Linked DNA regions of Daphnia pulex. The protein of the gene in region 2 purifies or fractionates together with the protein of the main gene of each other region. This does not show direct contact. Links are inferred from orthologs where the notes say so. Each region holds a gene or a part of one and is shown on either strand. Other genes may lie near its edges.

What was found.
Region 1: the proteins of cytochrome b-c1 complex subunit Rieske, mitochondrial-like (region 2) and complex III assembly factor LYRM7-like purify together in Homo sapiens (co-immunoprecipitation; 5 studies listed by BioGRID and IntAct, with this or other methods). This does not show direct contact. The link is inferred for Daphnia pulex from reciprocal best matches to the Homo sapiens genes UQCRFS1 and LYRM7.

The regions. Positions count from the first base shown.
Region 1 is NC_060017.1:6,879,491-6,883,017, forward strand, and holds complex III assembly factor LYRM7-like, read right to left. Parts: upstream 1,529-3,527; 5' UTR 1,454-1,528; coding exon 1,430-1,453; intron 1,337-1,429; coding exon 1,264-1,336; intron 1,176-1,263; coding exon 1,105-1,175; intron 1,042-1,104; coding exon 960-1,041; intron 888-959; coding exon 832-887; 3' UTR 774-831; downstream 1-773. Other genes in the region: zinc finger protein GLI2-like, read left to right, coding at 1-17; disintegrin and metalloproteinase domain-containing protein 10-like, read left to right, coding at 2,026-2,089.
Region 2 is NC_060017.1:6,019,895-6,023,800, forward strand, and holds cytochrome b-c1 complex subunit Rieske, mitochondrial-like, read right to left. Parts: upstream 2,210-3,906; 5' UTR 2,048-2,209; coding exon 1,837-2,047; intron 1,673-1,836; coding exon 1,344-1,672; intron 1,273-1,343; coding exon 1,131-1,272; intron 1,070-1,130; coding exon 930-1,069; 3' UTR 788-929; downstream 1-787.

The DNA of each region.
Region 1 (3,527 bases), about 860 kb from region 2:
TGCAAATGATTCAGTAGTATAGCAACTGTTGCGTACTCTGCTTCTTCTTCTTTCTCGTTGAGTGAGTTCTAGTGCAATAAGCTGGGCAAACCGCACGCCAATCAGAGCCGACAAATTCGTCTCTTTTGGCTGGGCTCCGATGGAACAAGACTGCGTGTGAAGATCTCGCCTCAATTACTCTTTGTTTTTGTTTTTTTAATTATTATTTCTTATTTGTTCAGTGCTGCCTACGTGTCTTAATAATAATTTGAATATTCTTGTACATTAAATTGTGTTCCGTGGAGACTCAATGACGTGCGCCGAGTGCCAAAAGGGGAAGAAAAAACAATTTTGGCCGTTATTTCGTATATACTGTGTGTGTGTGTGGTTTGTGTCTCTGCCTTACTTTTGCAGCTGTTACTTCCCCCTTTTTTGGGTTTGGGAGGTGTTTTTGTGGGAGGGGAGATGTGTATATGTGTGCCTTTGCGTGTCCTTGTTTCTCGTGCCTGTTCGAATAATATTTGTTGTGATACTGCCTTTTTCGAATTAGTTTGTTTGCTCCATCAATCATATCTCCGGTGCCTTGACAGCTTAATGATTTTGCTGCAGTGCCATATCGGAGCGCCTTGGTACCATGACAGTTGTATAATGATGTGAACATCATCATATATATATATTCTCTTGAACAGCAAGATTTTTTGCATGTGGACTGGCCCAAATGGCAGCCTATGAATTGTGCTTTGTGGTACTTGAAAACTGTACTTACATGTTCAATAAAATAAACTGTATGTCTGTTGAAATGTTACAGTCTCTCTATTTTTCACAATCATATACACTAACATACATTCTAAATCATCCCCTATATGGCGTGTTGTTGTGCATAAAGGTGTCCTTTGTTATATGGAGTCCTGCCACACATAAAGAATAATAAAAGGCAATTAGATAAAGAATGAAGATCACAATCTCAAGGTATAAATTACTGAAAGTGTTTTCTTCGGTGGGGGTGACCTGCACAACACTTGTCCGTAGAATTTCCTCTGCTTGGTTTCCAAGCTTGATTAACTGCCAAAAAAATAACAGGGTATCACTTGGAATGTCGGCACGAAACGAGAATGATCAACTTACTTCTGCTATTGCTTCTTGACTTGATATTCTCTGATATTTTCGGAATTCAGAATTGATTTTCAGGCGAGCGGCTATAATGTAAATAATTAAAATTCATCAATTAACCTGATATATGACTACATTTCTTATTATTTGTCATATTTCGAAAGAAATTCCTACCATCCATGGCGACTTGATCATTGGTAAACACTTTGGTACGAGTTCGATGTAGACACCGAAAACATTTTAGAACCTATACGAGGCACAAAATAAAGGAAACCAATAAATAAGTTGGAAATCAATAAATACAAGGACAAAAATAACATCTGAAAGTTTCTTTATTTACCTCTGCTCTAAGGGGGGCGGCCATTTTCTGTTTTGACAAACAGCGTTGTAGAATCAAAACAGAACCACAACATTTTTTGAATTACATCTAAATGTGTTTTTAATGGTGTCTTTCACATTCCTCAATGTTTATTTAATAATTTATTCCACATTTTTTTAAATTTAGTATAAATTTAATAGCTCCTTTAAAGTTTTGATGAATTTGGCAACGTTTTGGGTGTATTGGCCCAGCCTTCAACGAGAGAACAGAGAGGGATAGGGCCGAACAAAAGACAAGCGTTTTAGTTAGTAATGGAGTAACGAAGGATTAGAACGGAGTGTTGGGTTGTATTCGGACTTGTGGTGTTATTGGTGGTGGAATTTAAAGCGTCCCTTGATTGCGAAAGACATAACACAAGTGAATTATGACTTTACCTCAAGTGATTCTCCCGAAAGTGGTGCCGTTTAACTGTGGTTCGATACCCAGTCAGCTGTACTCGCTTCTCTAGCTCAACTCATCTTTTTTTTTTTTTTTTTCAAAAAATATAAATATATTATAGTGTTGTTTCTAATCTTCTGCTGGTTTTGGATTGTTTGAGCAGACCAGTGAAGATAATCATGCGTTTTCTGCTGTTACTAGTATGCATTCATCTGGTCACCACACATTTCGCCACTTCGGCCGGTGAGTCATCTGTTTTTTGTGATTGCCCCATCATCGGCTTCTTCTTCTGATGTTATTCACCTCGTCCAGAGGCCATGAAAATGTGCAACCGTTTGAGAAAACCAGTATTCCTCCCTCCCGTGACTTATAAATCTGAATTTCTTGACGTTTGGGGTGTTTTCTTTGTCGCTAGAAAAAGTGTAGCAATCGTCGCGCAAGTGGTTTGACGGTAGGGGGACGACCCTTTGTTCCTTTTTCTTGGAAAGTCATGAAACATTAAGTACTACCTCATACATTCGAGTAGACTTTTTTCCAACGTCATTATAAATGCGTGTTTCAGCTTCAAGTTCAACGGACTGTATCTCTCTCTACCATTTCCCGGTTTATTATCATTTATCACGGCTCGGTTCTCTCTCTCTCGTACCGGTTCATGGCTTGTACGCAAATTTCCCAAAAAAAAGAAACTAACCAGAAGTTGTAGTGACACTGCAGTCAGTGTTATTTTTCACAAGTAGACTCGTTCATACTCGCACACACATATACTTTTAGATTCTAGGAAGATACGACGGATTTCTTTTGATGTGTAACCCTTTTCTCTCTCTCTCTTAGACGTGATGATGATGATGATGTGTATTGCCTCCACCTGGAAACAGGAAATGACTGTTGGCCACATTATTGTTGTGCAAGTTTTAACTCGCCTTCCTTTCAATGCTGGCGTCCATTCTGATGAGTGGAGGCCGTGACTCAAAGTCCACACCGGATGACGAGCCATGCTACTGTTAGTATGTACACACACACACACATCAGTAGCAGCAGACGGCTATTAGTATCTTTTTATTTCAATAGAAGTAGTGATCGCACAAAAACAAAATCCTCCCCCCTTGAAAGCGGAAAGAGACAGGAAAGACAAAACCGGAAAAAGAAAGACACGTTACCCCTCTAATTTTGGCTTTTCTTTCTCTTGTTGGCGTTGTTTTGTTTTGTGTCAGTCGAGTGGAATGATACCACGAACCGAATCCCCTCCCGAGTTACGAGACGAGGTACCCCAAATTGTCGATGGCGGTTTTACGTTACGTTGAACACCACCAGTGTCCATCAACATTCGGAATTGGCCCAACGACTTTGTGTGTGTGCTCTCATTCCGGTTGGGATGGCAGCAGCAGCAGCAGTTATTTGGTCCTATATCCATTCCAATCTCCTTCTTATAACACGCTATCTTTTCACGGTGACGTTGTAGGAATTCCAATTAAAAGGTTAGACGCATTGTATGCCATGCATTTCGCCGTTTTACAACCCATCACAAAACAGCAGTTTCCCTTTCCATTTCCCTGTCTTGCATCCGAACGACGTCATTGAAGACGTGTTGTCCACAAGAATGCATTTCTCCCATTATAGTCCACGGTGGGAGCATGGGGGGCGCATTGCATGGCTGACGTGAATCGATTTCCCCCACTTTTTC
Region 2 (3,906 bases):
TACTAAGAAAAGAGACAAAAACAAACAAACAAACCAACAAAACCATTTTTGACGACTTCTTTATTTCGTATTTAAATGAGACAAGTGTATTTTCATTCTTACATGTCAAACCAGAAATAACTATTCAACTCCTCATTTATCGTGTACGTCACCAACAATGAACGAACCAAGGGAAACTTCGTACAAATGATCTGAGTAAGTTGACGTTAAATGCTGATTCAAATGTTGCTCAACCTTTACGAATGCGTTCAAAGTTTAATTTGTCTACTCCCCTTCATCTCTTTCTACTTCTGTGACTGGAAATCGTCTTGAGAAAAGGACGACTGTACACTCGTTTGCCTTCCGTTTTTGATTTCGCACAATAGATTAGGACTCCCCAGGCGACGATTCGATTGAAATTTCCGGGTCGATAAGTACTACCATCGAGTCACTTGAATAGAAACGAGGAGAATGGTTCGCAGAGATATAAGTTCCCTTCGCCCCCCGCCCCTTTTCTTGTGCGTCCGTCTCGGCAACTTGAATGTGCGTTCACAATGATCCCAGCCAGCGACTTGCACGCTACCTCGTGAGTCCAAAAGCCATTTCTTAAGACCTCCCTATACACGTTCCCGATTTCGTTAGTGATTGCCATTCATTTGACTAGATAATTGCTTTTACTCTGAGGCCGTAGGATCTAAAATGAATTTACTTGCAGCATTCTGGTAACAAACTGAAAGATTCCGGATCAAAAGCAAAACATGCCAAAGAATCAGCGCTTTGCCTATAATAATTAAAGAAAGTGTTATGGTACATTTACTGAGTCCTTCCCTCTCTCAGCTACAGGATCGTGTATTTATTGTATCTGTACAAAGCAAGAGGGGGATAGACGCTAATTTTGGGTTGATTTTCCTAGAAAGATGTTCACGAGTAGTGACCGTCTTTGAACGAAATTAACCAACAACTAGGGTGTTTTCATCCACAAAAGTGTGAATTGGGATTTCCAAGTTCAAAGGAGCTGGGCCTTTGCGGATTCGGCCAGAAGCATCGTAGTGAGAACCGTGGCATGGGCAATAATAACCTCCAAATTCGCCTGTCAAAAAGAGAACTCGTTAAAAGCTTTTTTTTACGTTGAAATATTATTGAAAACGTACCCGAATTTGCGATTGGGACACAACCCAGATGGGTGCACACTCCGAGCAAAACCAGCCATTCGGGACGCTGGGCACGGTCGGAATCAAGTTGTGGATCACGCAGTGTAGACATATCAACTTTGCTTTCCGTGTCGATTTCCTCCTAAAATAATGGGGGAACAATTGTCGATCAGCAAGAGTTATTTACGAGTCACAATCATAATCAATACATACCGCAGTGCGATGCCTAATGAAAAGGGGCTTTCCACGCCATTTGAAGGTAACGTTCTTACCCTCAGGGATGTCGTTCAGTTTAACTTCAATTTTAGCCAAAGCCAAAACATCAGCTGAAGCACTCATGGAGCCCACAAATTCACCAACAACAGTCTTGGCAGCATAAGCACCACCAACTGCTCCACTGCCAACAATCAGATACGAGAATCCTTGTCGGCTAGGTGCGCTTGATTTGTTATCAGCACTGCTGTCTTTAAGATTGCTGCGTCTGTAGGCAGAGAAATCTGGGACTGAGACATCAGTGTGAGCAAATCGCACCTGGCTAGGACCTAAAAGGAGAAACAAAAAAAAAAATGCAATTGTAGCTTGAAAATGTAAGAGTGTCGACATTCAACATCGAAATTAAAGGCCACCATTTTCTGATGAAACAAAATTTTTTGTCTTGGCCCAAATTATCTAGAAACAGTTTTATACAAGAAGAAAAAAATATTACCTCCAATTGAAACTGATGCCCTTATCGGATTAATCGGCAAACCAGCCGTTAAAGAGTTGGTCGTTAGTTTTTGGGCTGGTGGTGGAACTAGAACTCGTTCAATGTTGATGGTAACGGCCGGAGACAGAGCTTTCGAGCCATTTGCTACCGATTGTGTGGCAGCAACAGTTACGGAAGATAAATTTGCCGAACGAGCAACAAAACTAAACATTTTTAGGCCGAGCTCACGAAGTTTTCGAGAGATTTTTAGTCGAGCAAAATGGACGAAGTTCTTGTCTGCAAAGAAAAGTGAACGATCGCTGCGTTGCCGGATTCTTTTTATAAAACGCGGTAACGACTTTTTCTTTTCGAGTCGTCGTCCGACAAGTTTTGAGGTCTACAAAGTAAACCTTATGAATTTTTACTTGATTTACTGCTATTCATAAACTAGAAAGCCAATATTGCATGCCGTAAATTAGATCGGGTTAAATGTGGAGACGATTATATTTGACTGATTATTTATTTATTTGTCATGGTAATTGAAATAGTACAACGAATTCATCTCCTATTCTTTTTTTGTTGGCAACAAGCTCGTTATAATAACAAAGAGCGCTCCAAAGACGTCGATCGTCGAGTTGACATAACACATTACACACAAATAGGGACTTATGTTCAGCGGAAATGATGAATTCAAATGACCTCGACAATGTAACAGACAAGATTTAAGAATGCTAAAACTACAAATCAAGTCTCCGATTGATTTACTATCACCGTCGTAATAAATGTAAAAAGTCACATATTGAGTCTGTATTCCTTATCTGGCATTAGGTGTTGTTTATTATTCTTGTACTGCTCAAGTTGTCGCAGGCTTGTCAGTTAAGACAACAGTTTAACTTTTCAAAACTTGTGTCTGTATTGCACCTGTAAAAAGTTGCATGAGTTATTGCCTTTTTTACTCAACTTTGAAGCTACCTTTTCTTTTTGCGTTTTCCAGATTACTTGAAAGATTACTTTCCAGATTCAATGGGAAGCAAATATAATTCACCTTTATTTTTTTTTTAAATGTTTTTCTTTTTCTCGCGCGGTTGTTCGCGTTGCCATTTTTCATTCACACTCGAGTTGAGATGTAAATAATGATAAATTAGAATTCATATTTCATTCTAGTGTCTTTTTATAATTTTGAAAATATTGTGTTGAAGTTAAAGTCCCAAAATACAGTATATAAAAAATATTAGTCTATTTCAATATGAAAATTATAAATCTGGCACATTCAATTTTCCGAAGGATGGGAAACTCACCGGTAGAGGGAATTCGTCATACTCAATGAATGAAGTGACAACCACGTTTGAAATCACTTGAACATCGGCAATGAGACAATCAAGGTCTACTGCATCTAAAGTTAAAATTGTTTTTGAGACTTGTTAAATGTTACATTCTGTTAATTTCGTTAAGTTAATTGAAGGGTGCGCAAGTTTTATTTATCATATTTAAGTATGCTTGATTTCTACGTGATTCACATTGTTTCCTATTATATCACCGCCATGCTTCCTAAACGTGGTAAGTAATTTTCTGGGTTTTTACAATCCTGCTAGATGATGATCTCTCGAGTCTCGTTCGTATGAATTTGACAAGGTCATTTTATTGATTCCAAACTTAACTCATCTGATTTTTTAAATACTGTCTTCACTTCCATCTTTTTTTTCCCATCCAACTAATCTAAGCATTTTTATTTAGATGATTCAGTTGTGGGAGATGTAACTTCATGAAACAAGCTCTGGAGATTTGCCATGGTAACTTAACTTTCATTCTGGAAAGAAATAAATGAGTGATGAAACAACTTACCCAATCTGAGGTGGAATGATGTATTACTTAATTCATCCTTACCTACATTCTCTGAAGTGCATTTTAATTTAAAAATAGTGTTGTCCATCCCAGTTCTTATACATGTCTCTTCTGATAGGTTGTGCGTCAACCTGTCTCATGCTGTGAAGAAAAATGTAGAGGTGTGTATCATTTTCAATTCTAACTCGTTTTCTTGTACAAACTCGTTTTCTCATTGACAATTTTTATTTTGGTTTTATTTTCACTTTG